3 linked regions of the Schizosaccharomyces pombe genome follow. The protein of the gene in region 2 binds, or shares a complex with, the protein of the main gene of each other region. Each region holds a gene or a part of one and is shown on either strand. Other genes may lie near its edges.

Region 1 (3,497 bases), on a different chromosome or scaffold from region 2:
GGCTGATATTTGATATCCACACCTTCAATCTCTTCCAAGCCCATAAACCCATCGAAGTCGTCTAGGTGGTCAGGAAGCTTGACTTCCTTCCATTTAAGCTCGTCCAATGCAGCTTTCTTTGGCATCGTGATCAAAGCGTTGAAAAGTGTAGTAGTTTGCTCCACATAGAAAATGTAGGTAGACAAAAATTTACACTAAGAATTGGAACGAGGGAATAAAAATAATTGCATCGTATAAGCTAATAGAAAACAAATAATTAAATGTTACGAAGACATTAAACGACGATTGGTTTTAGCAATTCAATGCTTTGCCATGTTTTGCATAATTTCTAAATAGTACAACCATTTTGTATTAAAAATATTGCTTGAGAATTTTAGAATCGAATGATCTGAGCTACAGTGCTTACAAGAGTAGTAAACACAAACGATGTTACTACTATAGTTCTAATTCGGCTAGCAATTGGTACAGGTGAAAGGAACATTCTTATTACTTTGAAAATTTGACATCTCAGTCCTTCTCTTAAATAATAATAATAAAAATAGGAATTATAGATATGACAGAATAATATAAGGGTCTTTATGTTCACGCAGCTGTTTAGAATTATGTCGTATAAGATGTAGGTTGGGAAGCTAATACATAATTAATGCACATCCATAAAGTTTTTGAAGAAAAAAGGTAGATTGATCGGTCATAATTTAGCATTTCATTTTCAGACTATCATTGAAATGGAAGAAGTTTTTATTTCATTTTGGATTCTTCGAAAAGTACTCTTTTGTGAATTCTATGGGTTCATTCATTAGCTTCTTAAATGAGGCTTTAGAAAATCCATAATAACTTACTTGGGATCATATTTTATAAAAGCAAGCTTAGGAGCAGCTTTTGGACGTGAACGAACGTAGAAAAATCCAGTGCCAGCGGTGGACAATAATTTTACAAGCAAACTGAAAAATAAATGTTAAAAATGCGCATTAAATTAAGCATGTATGTCTTACCGAGCTTTATTCTTTTTAGCCATTCTGGATATACGTACAGTGCAAGCGGTAAGTTAAAGGTTTTGTAGTTACACCAGGGTTTGTGGGCGAGCTCTTTTAACTTGATGGATAACTTGCAGTCAGAAATGTAAAATTGAAAGTTTGCAATTCAAAGATATTGTTTTGAGTAATGAGAAAGCCTTTTTGCAATCCAATTTTTATTAAATTTGGTTGTGTACAATCGAGGCTTTTCAATAGGTTATTTTTTTGTTTTAGGTAGACTATAGAACTATTAGTAAAGATAAAAGGCTCATCAATGAATTACTTGTTTTGAAAAAAAGCATTTAGATTTGAAATTCTAATTGAGAAACATGCATGACGGCACTTAAGAACGAAAGACGAACAGTAAGAATAAAAAAATTAGAAAGAATTTTTGAATAAAAATAAAATAAAATAAAAAATAAAAAAATGTTAATAAGGAAAGTATAACAAATTGAGTCTGCTGCGTCTCTTCTCCTGATGTCTGCCAATTTAACAGAGAGGAATAATTAACAAACTATAAGTAATCTTATAAATAGAAGTTGCTGTTCTATTAACATTCGAAGAAAAAATATGAAGTGATGAACAACTCTTGAAAAATTCTTTTTTTTTATTACAATTATTATTGTTTTTTAATTATTGGCTGTAGATGGGTATTTAATTAAAGTCCAATCGCGTCTTTGCCAATTTATAATCTTATTTGTATTTCTACATTTTTTTTGGAAAGAATGATATTCAAATGAAAGAACCAATTTTCTTTCAGGAAAAATTCTTTTAGTTAAAATGACATGTACTAGATGAATTAGGACGTTAAGAATGAACTAATTGCAATAGCATAGTTTGCTAGCGTGAAAAAAAAACACAGATGGAAATTAGCGAGCCTAGTAAAGAAACATTTATGACGAGGTGGTTCTAAAAAGCCTTTCGTGTATATATATATATATATTCGGCTCTAAACAAACGCAAGCTTTAAGTATCATTGTAACTGTAAATTATTGGCAATACTGAAAGTATAAGACGATCCTCAAGTTGTAAGCAAACCTAATTCATTTGCTGTACCAAGACTAGGATGGATGAGTTACAAGTCACTTTAAGTGTTTATGGGTCCAAAGAGAATATAAAATGTGTTTTCCCAATTTTACAAGGGTTAGCCAAATAAAGAATGCAAATGAACAAATCGCATGAATTGCGGAAGCTAGTGACATTGTATGACGATCTGCCCGAAATCCCAAGTCCGTATCTCATCCGCGAAATTGAGACATATCACGATGCATACGGAGAAAATCTATACAACGCAAGTATAGCCGCACCCAAAGACGGATATAGAATAGACTGGAGAAGGCTACATCCCTCGGATATGGAGACTGAATGAAAGAATTGAGAGAGTATTTAAAGCTCATTAAGTGCAATGTTTACGATTGTTATTACGGTTCTACATGGTCAATAGTATGGGAAATTTTAAAATAAACATTTTTCCTGGTTGTGAAAATGATGGAGAGAAGCAACGAAAATATCTTTAACTGATGCTTTATATATGTAGAATAAAAATTGAGTTGGAAATTACAGCAGGGATAGTAAACAAGTCAAGGATATGTTACAGTTGTCATTAGAATAACAAAAGGTTTAATAACTATCTTTTAAAGAGGATTTGACATTGTACTAAGGGCTGAGACAACTCGCATTAAATAAGCAAAGGCTGAATTAAGTAAAAGAATATTCGCACTTAATAGAGGAATACTATGTTAAATATAGGATGGATTTGCTGTGTATATATAAAATTATTATCCTCTTATATATACATATAATTATCGTTAATTATTATTTATATTTTATTTTATTTTCTTATCTTTTCCTTGGTTTTTATGTATTTACTAGTAAATCTATAATAATCATTAACTTTAATAACTTTCTTCAACTGATCAATTTCCCAACCAAAATGCTTTGTTATTTGTTCTTTAAGCTTGCTATGTTCTTTAGCTGCGTGTCTATCATCTCTTCTTGTTTGGCTTGGCACGTGCCATTTTACCATTTCTTGCTTCCTCCTACCTTTTAGGCCTTAATATTAACCCCCTGGGTCATCTTTTGGCATATAGGGTAAAGGGGCCAAACTCACTATCCAAGATAAGTCTAAGTATGCAACTGTTAACATTTCAGTTAAGCACGTTGTCTCCTATAAGCAAGTATAACGTAGTTTAAAAAGAACGTTAAGTTAATTAGTCTGCACATAATACAAACATGGGATAGTGAGACAATATCGTCTGTTAGAGTAAATTTTCCTTTCTTGAAAGATTTTCCATTTTTGTGCATGAAAAGGCGTAATTTAAGATCATGCGATGGGTAGTACAGGTCAAATTGATAAACCGACTTTTACCAGTTTGTGCTATCAGATCTCACACTGTGCTCTCCTTCCGTCGCATTATTTTGTTATTTTTTGAGCTGAGTATTCCCGTAATCCAAGGACAAGCGTCAGGGTGTGTACGATAGTTG
Region 2 (3,827 bases):
TGTAAGTAAGCCTTTAACATCACAATTTATACTGCAAATGAAAAAACCGAAACAACTGATGTTACCATCGAATAGTAGGTTTTTTAGGAAGAATTATTTAACGAGAAGTAATTGTATAAAAAAAATTCTAAACTTTTGGTTACGAAAAACGATCTAGGTTCCTTCGATCACCCAGGTCTGCTGAACTCTGGTAGATAAACTATCTTGAAGAAGCTTCCCCAGAAACCTGTCTATTATACATTCAAGTAATGTACAATCATTGAAAAGTTTTTTTTTAGTGTTCAGTCGAGTGCGAATTTTTATTAAAAAGCGCTAAGCAAGTTTGGCTTAAAAAAAAAAAAAAAGGATTCTTCTTTATTATTGCTTCAAATTTTATTATACTCGAGTCGTTAAAAATATAAACCACTACGAGAAAAGAAAAAAATTGACCAACATTGTAAAAAAACTTATTGTCTTATAGGGTACAGGTTCCTCCTTGCCTCTTCAGACACGACGTCCCATATGGTAGTACAAGATAAATGGAAGAGAAAAGCGACATTAGCGTATAAAAAAAAGCATGACATTCATGATGCACCTGTAAAACCTCGTAAAAAAAATTTGGGAAATAACGAATGGAGATTTAAAAATGCAGGGGAATACTTTGATGAAGATAACAATGAGGAAGAATATCCAAGTTTGGAAAGTTTGAAGACCGTGGGGAATGGAGATACAATTCAAGATGAAGAAGAAGATTTCGAGTATTCAAAACTACAAGCACGGCCCCTTACTGGTTTGGGAATTAGCAACCAAAAACCCAAGTCCAAAGTTCGGACTATCCAACGTGAAGAAGTAGCCGACATGTTGGAGAGCGTTGAGCATGAAAAGTCAATTCAAGAATTCCGTAAGCGTTATAATGTACAAAAGCCAAAGGTAAACATTAGCCATGCTGAAGCGGAAGAAGATATTGATTCTTTTCTTGAAAGTATGGATCAGTCTGCTCCGCCTTCCATTACAGAAGATAAAGGGGAAAATTACATTTCTTCTAATCATTCCAGCATGCATATTTCAAGAAACGACTCTAGGAACTATATGTCTGAAAAGCCAAACAAAGACCAAAGTTGGTTAGATGAACTATTACGATAAATATAACTAGAATGAAAATTTAACTTTCAAACATGTTATTCAATTCTTTTAAACCGTTATTGTATCGATGTATCACTGTAAATCCGCTACTAGAAGCAAGAGACTTCTTTTCTTGCCCAGCGGCTAACTTTTGTTTCACAGTACTGACACTAACGAGTTCTTTTACTTTAAAAATTCTTCCCGCATTGATTGGATTTACATCGCAATAGACTACGGAGTGTCTTTTTGTTAACCTCAAAGAATGCAAAACGCTGCGCACCTTACTAAAATATTGGTTAGCAATTACAAGCATGTTTTTCTCGTTTCCAAAACACGTACCTCGAGAGCCCGATGGCTGACCTTTCTAAACGAACTCGAAAGAATGACATTATGGTAAACTAGAAGTTCGTGGAGTCCGTTTAACACTAAATATTGAAACTCTTTTAGTTCAACCGATAAAATACAATTCATATCGCAAGCTCGTTATTGTTCACTATTATTCACTACGTTGCTATCTATTTAACGATACATTGAATTACGATGAATTTTTTGCGATCCACATTTAGTGGAATGCAGTATATTAACTACAATGTTATATTTATTGTTATAAGAAGTCTATTAGTGTAAGTCACCGATATGGTTAAAAAATGGAGAGGAGCGATTTACAGTAACATCTATAATTATCATCTTTCTAGTAGTTGTAATCACATGGTGTCTATGAGTATAGACGACTACTTATCTGTTTACTGTCAATAAACGGATCTTTACTAATATTCCAACATGTAACATATAGTGATACGCAACCTAGTAAATCATTAGTGTAATGCAGTATTACCGATATATCACAAAAAATTATGTTAATTGGTATTACGTGTCTGCTTCACAATGCTAATATCATATTAACGATGTTCAATGGATTATTATTTTTAAGATGTGAAATTTGGCTGGGATAAAACTTTTTCTTTACCAAAATGGCACTTCGTGCTCAATTCGAGAATTCTAATGAGTAAGTTTACTCAGCTTTTTTGCTTAATAGACGCATGATATTAACAAATTATAGGATTGGTGTCTTTTCTAATCTCACAAACTCATACGCACTTGTAGCGCTTGGAGGCTCTGAAAACTTCTACAGGTAAGCTTAACGTTTATTTGATGCCAAAATTTAATGTTCTAAATGTAAACGATTCAAAATTTTTTTAAAGGTTCTTAAAATCCTTAACCAGTCGAACGTATTATGAGAAAAATAAATAGCACATATGTGAATGATGTAGCCTAACTACTCTTTAATTGAGTAAAAGAGACTTTGCTACATAAATGCAAACCACTACTTAAACTCTGGCGGTTTGCTGTTCATTACCTTTATTATTCCTTGACTCGATGCAGCTCGACAAATTATTTTTTTTGGCATTTTTTACATTTATCAACTTTTCACTAACTTTTATAACAGCGTGTTCGAGGCAGAGTTAGGTGATGTTGTACCCGTTGTTCATACCACAATTGGAGGAACCAGAATCATTGGTCGTTTGACATGTGGTAATAGAAAAGGTCTGTTAGTTCCCTCTTCTACCACCGATAATGAACTACAGCACCTCCGCAATTCTCTTCCAGATCCTGTCAAAATCCAACGTGTTGATGAACGACTTTCAGCTCTAGGAAACATTGTGGCTTGCAACGACTATGTGGCCCTTGTTCATCCTGATATTGAGCGTGAAACCGAGGAAATTATTGCTGATGTCTTAGATGTTGAAGTTTTCCGTCAAACCGTTGCAGGCAATGTTTTAACCGGTTCGTATTGTGCATTGAGCAATCAAGGTGCTTTGGTTCACCCTCGTACTAGCATTCAGGAACAGGATGAATTGTCATCACTTCTTCAAGTTCCTCTTGTTGCCGGTACCATCAACCGTGGTTCCGATGTTATCGGTGCTGGTCTAGTTGTGAACGACTGGTGTGCGTTTGCTGGACTTGATACTACGGCTACTGAATTGGCTGTCTGTGAATCTATATTTAAACTTCAAGATGCTCAACCTTCTGCTATTATAAGCAACAGAGACACTCTTGTTGAGTCTTATACATAAGCAGTCGGTGTGAGCTAACTAAAAAATTATTGATCAGGATTTATGAGTTTGGATAATTCATCCTACGTGATATTTTCCTATTAAAGTTTTAATGTTGATACGTTATACGTATGTATCTGGTTATAAAATTTTTGATATGCCTTTCGGTTTAATAGTCCTATCCATTGTGGTACCCAAGCTTCCTATTGTAGAAATTTACAATACAAGTTTTTTATAGACCATTATAACACTTAAGGGACTTCCGTAATCGTGTTTATTTTTATTATGTCAAATAGATTTTGAAAATGCTTTTATTGCTTTGCTTTTTGTCTGTTCTTAACACATTCGGATTTGTTAAGCTATTCTCGCTTATAGAGTAGAGCTTCTTGCTAACGCTGCATGAGACTTCGTACTTCAATTTACGTGTTTTATTAAGTAGTTTGCAGCCTTTATATTAAAAATGATCTAATAAATATACTTTCTTTTCAGTCTTTGGTGACAAACTAGTTATGGAAAGTATTTCGATGTAGGTATTTTTTGACTGAAACCAATGCGTACTCCGCAAGCGAAATAAATATTTAAGAATAAATTAAGTTACCAAGTAACTATACAAAGTGGGGAAGTAGAATAGACTACAATACTCATAGATATTTATATTTAGCAGTAAATAAA
Region 3 (3,699 bases), on a different chromosome or scaffold from region 2:
CTTAGTCATGCAAATTCTGTTCGAATTCAGCGATCGAAGGGCGATGTTATTTTGAATTTACATTTGCCTAAAGTGAACCCGGAGCGGTTTCTTCCTACTAAATCATTAAAATTAGAGGAAATGAAACCATTAGAGGAGAAGGTTCCTATATACCGCTCATCTTCCAAACAACCCCTTCGAATTCATCCTACTCATCCACTGCGTGTAACTGTTTGTCTTCCAGGTAGCAAGACAATTCAAGTGGCTCGTCGCTCTTTTCGTAATTCAATGAACGCTAATCGTTATGATCCTCAACGCCGAGAACGAATTGATTCCGGTTTATGGAGGGCGAAAAACTAGCTTGGTTTTTTCTTATTGTTATCGTTTATGTATACTTTACATGAGATTATAGTCTCTTTTGTGTTTTCGATGCATTTAATATTATTTACACGCTTACAACATAAACGTGTATTGAAAAAGGATGAAAGCTAAGAGATATATTCAGCTTTTTTGTTATTTTTTCACTCTAAATTCTTTTGCATAATATATGATATTTATACTCAACCGTACATAGTCAACAAATAAAATTAAGTAAAAAAATTCTTTGTTATACGCGTATTTTTAAAAAGGGTGTAGTTCATTAATCGTAATACTGAAAAAATTTAAGTAGTGCGAGCAGATTCAATTCACTAACTGCAATACTATTACATGAAACAACCTTATATTTAATGTTAAGTCCATTTTTTTTCTTAAAATAAAGATTTGCAGCATCACTAAATCAGTGAAGAAATGCTTAATGCCCTTCATTCGTTAAATTCTCGACGAATATTTCTAAAACAGTGAGAACATAAATGATGTGCCAATTTAAAAGACCCGCAAATAGGACAACGATTAACTGTTTTGTCTTTTAATGCTTTTCCGGACAGTAAGCGACTTCGTTTCTTAGTATAAGAAGTTTTTTTCTTTGGAACAGCAAGCAAAATGGAATTCCATATATTAGCTATTGAAGGGGGGGAAATAAATATCCTCAAAGAAATATGAGGAAGGGCGCTAGCTTGAAAAACTGATAACATTTTTTGGCTAATTGCCAAAGAATTTCCTCTTAAAAGAGCCATTTTCGACCCAAGCGCGAACAGTAGAATATTGTTGGGTACAGTAATGCTGAACAATATTTTAAAAGTTTTCTCAAGGTAAGGCGAACTTAGTTACTGCAGAACTTGATCTTAATTATATAGTTATAAAACGATGCATATAGCCGTTTTCTAAAACCAGTAGACCCAATCACAGATAGATTTACGATCTCCGAGAAAAGAGTTTGAAATAATTGGAAGTCGTCAAAAGGAAACTTAAAGACCAGTTACTTTGGTTTCGAGACAATGCTTAAGAAGTAGGCTGCTGCCTAAATCTATAGTCTGCTGTTGAGTAGTAATAACCCATGTATAACGAGACTCCTCAAATTCACTATTGCTTTGGCTTGACATTTAAATGCTAAGTGCGCTCTCTCTTTATTAAGTCTCGCAGTTTAATGTTGACAATTTTCTTAAGCTCATGAACTACGCTACAATCATAGTCCATTTAATTATTTGAAGTTTTCTACGTATTTGTACTAATTTTAGTAGATCAAAAATTTTGTGAAATATTCCAGCAGGCGTTTCACTTTGAGATTCCACATAATTGAAATTGAAACATCGCTTTAAAAGATTCAAACCTATTTTGACTGATTCAAGATCAATCTCAGAATCATGTACTTACATTTTGAATACTTTGATAAGTTAGTCTTCCTTTTAGTTTTTTTATAATGCATTGCGAATATTAAAAAGTTGAGACTTTTAGAAAGAAGCATTGTCTCATTTATTATAAAAATTATCCAAGTGTCACTGAGATCATTCTTGGCAGTAAGAAAAAAACAAAAAAAAAGGAACAGATAAGTAAAGTATGCACTAGAAAAAGGAATTAAAGTAAAGCAAAAAAGTAGTTAAAATGTACTCTGTTTGAATCTGCCCAACCTGCGGATATGGATTTTAGTGGAGGAGGCAAAAAAATAAACTCAGGTACATATATTCTAACGAACTGCAAAAGCATATTAACGATAAATAAACAATGTGAGAAGAAACAGTTTTTAAGCAAACGTTGGAGGATATTCCGAAACTTCTAACAGCAGATGTTTACTCAAAAACTTTTTTGACAAGTTAGCCTATTTACCAGAATGATGTATGGATTTTATCAAAGGGATAAGGGATGAAACTGGAACGGCTTGCTTAAGAAACGGATGCCTTAAAAGCTCACCGGAGCTAGGGCGTTGCTTAGGATTAACAGTTAAAGATTTAGAAAGAAAATCATGGAAAACAGAACTTAACAATTCTGGCCGACTAATCTTTGGAGTACCAATAGTAGCAATTAAATATAGAGCACGTAAAGGATTTTCGTTTAAATACGGGGGCTCTCCCTCTACCATCTCTATAGCCATAATACCAAGACTCCAGACATCAACTTTGAAACCATATTCCTTTCTAGTAACGACTTCTGGAGCCATCCAATATGGAGTACCAACCATCGTCGTTCGTTTCGTCATGTTACTGTCGATCTGAGCACAAAACCCAAAATCGGTAAGTTTAATATCTCCTTGAAGTGAGAGAAGGATATTGTCTGATTTTATGTCACGGTGAACAATGCCATTTTCATGGAGATGCTGTAAGCCTTCCAACGTTTCCTTACATATTGCAGCTATCTGACCTTCTGAAAGAGTGTTATTGGTAACCACTTCAGTAAGACTGCCACCGCGCATGTATTCCATTACCATCCACAACTCTGATTTATAGAAGAAAGTGTCAATAAAATTGACAATGTTTTTGTGATGATGTGACTTCATCACGAGTATTTCATTGACAATAAATTCCTTTTTTGGCTGTTGATTAATGTTCATTTTCTTGATGGCAACAGAAAGATTAGTGCCGACTTGGCGAGCAGAATACACATCACCAGAAGCACCTTGACCAATTTTAACAAAATTTCGATATAAAAGTGTTGGATTTTTGGGATTGCATATAGACTGTAACTTTGCCAATACAGCAGAATCATTGGATTGTTGTCGAGGTGCACGCTTTTGAAGTCGAGGGGCACTTGGTGCTTCCACTTTTTGAGGAGTCGCAACAGCTTTCGGTTTGGTGCTAGTCTCGGCTCTCCGTTGATATGGTGTCGAGTTATTCGGACGGATATGTTTCGTTTCAGATGTACTTAAGGTTTGAGGCGTTAACAAAACAGGGGAATGACTTCGGATTATATTATCGGTTGACTTGCTGGAAACTAATGGAGAAGGTTGTCGAGAAGCATTAGAGGTAGTAGTTTTAACTGTTTGTGATGATAATAAAGGAGACGATGAAGAACTTGCAGGAGGCGTGGGAGCAGGTCGAGAAGGATACAAACGAGAAGATGAGCTTGTAGCAGAGGTGGGTTGAAGATGAGAACTACTAGACAACGCTGAAACGGAGAGTAAAGGCTTCTCAGTACTTTCACGGGGAAAGGGTGGCTTTGCTCCCTCCTCAAGATATTTCTTGGATTGGGAATAAAAAGCCATAGCGTCCAAAACGGCCTGTGGATGTTGTACTTGTTCCGACTTTGTAATGCCACTGACTTTTAGTAGTGCCTGCCATTCAGTAGGCATTCCAGTAAATTCCCCAGTATCATAATTAAAACCAACGTGAGTGACATGCTTCGGATCAA

Evidence for each region.
Region 1: mrpl33 (region 2) and mrpl39 share a complex: the UniProt entries of both Schizosaccharomyces pombe proteins name them as parts of the mitochondrial large ribosomal subunit.
Region 3: mrpl33 (region 2) and mrpl32 share a complex: the UniProt entries of both Schizosaccharomyces pombe proteins name them as parts of the mitochondrial large ribosomal subunit.

The regions. Positions count from the first base shown.
Region 1 is NC_003423.3:2,700,235-2,703,731, forward strand, and holds mrpl39 (mitochondrial ribosomal protein subunit bL33m), read right to left. Parts: upstream 1,518-3,497; 5' UTR 1,016-1,517; coding exon 993-1,015; exon of another isoform or gene 942-992; coding exon 840-941; exon of another isoform or gene 809-839; intron 782-808; coding exon 739-781; 3' UTR 501-738; downstream 1-500. Other genes in the region: ATP-dependent RNA helicase Mak5, read right to left, coding at 1-125. UniProt on the Schizosaccharomyces pombe protein: Component of the mitochondrial ribosome (mitoribosome), a dedicated translation machinery responsible for the synthesis of mitochondrial genome-encoded proteins, including at least some of the essential transmembrane subunits of the mitochondrial respiratory chain.
Region 2 is NC_003421.2:2,221,082-2,224,908, forward strand, and holds mrpl33 (mitochondrial 54S ribosomal protein uL30m), read right to left. Parts: upstream 1,502-3,827; 5' UTR 1,491-1,501; coding exon 1,441-1,490; intron 1,386-1,440; coding exon 1,142-1,385; 3' UTR 1,123-1,141; downstream 1-1,122. Other genes in the region: SPOM_SPCC1919.07 (uncharacterized protein), read left to right, coding at 502-1,122; tif6 (translation initiation factor-like ribosome biogenesis protein), read left to right, coding at 2,073-2,107, 2,162-2,233, 2,549-3,176. UniProt on the Schizosaccharomyces pombe protein: Component of the mitochondrial ribosome (mitoribosome), a dedicated translation machinery responsible for the synthesis of mitochondrial genome-encoded proteins, including at least some of the essential transmembrane subunits of the mitochondrial respiratory chain.
Region 3 is NC_003423.3:3,905,533-3,909,231, reverse strand, and holds mrpl32 (mitochondrial 54S ribosomal protein bL32m), read right to left. Parts: upstream 1,381-3,699; 5' UTR 1,095-1,380; coding exon 783-1,094; 3' UTR 501-782; downstream 1-500. Other genes in the region: SPOM_SPBC1604.12 (uncharacterized protein), read left to right, coding at 1-339; PAK-like kinase Shk1, read right to left, coding at 2,174-3,699. UniProt on the Schizosaccharomyces pombe protein: Component of the mitochondrial ribosome (mitoribosome), a dedicated translation machinery responsible for the synthesis of mitochondrial genome-encoded proteins, including at least some of the essential transmembrane subunits of the mitochondrial respiratory chain.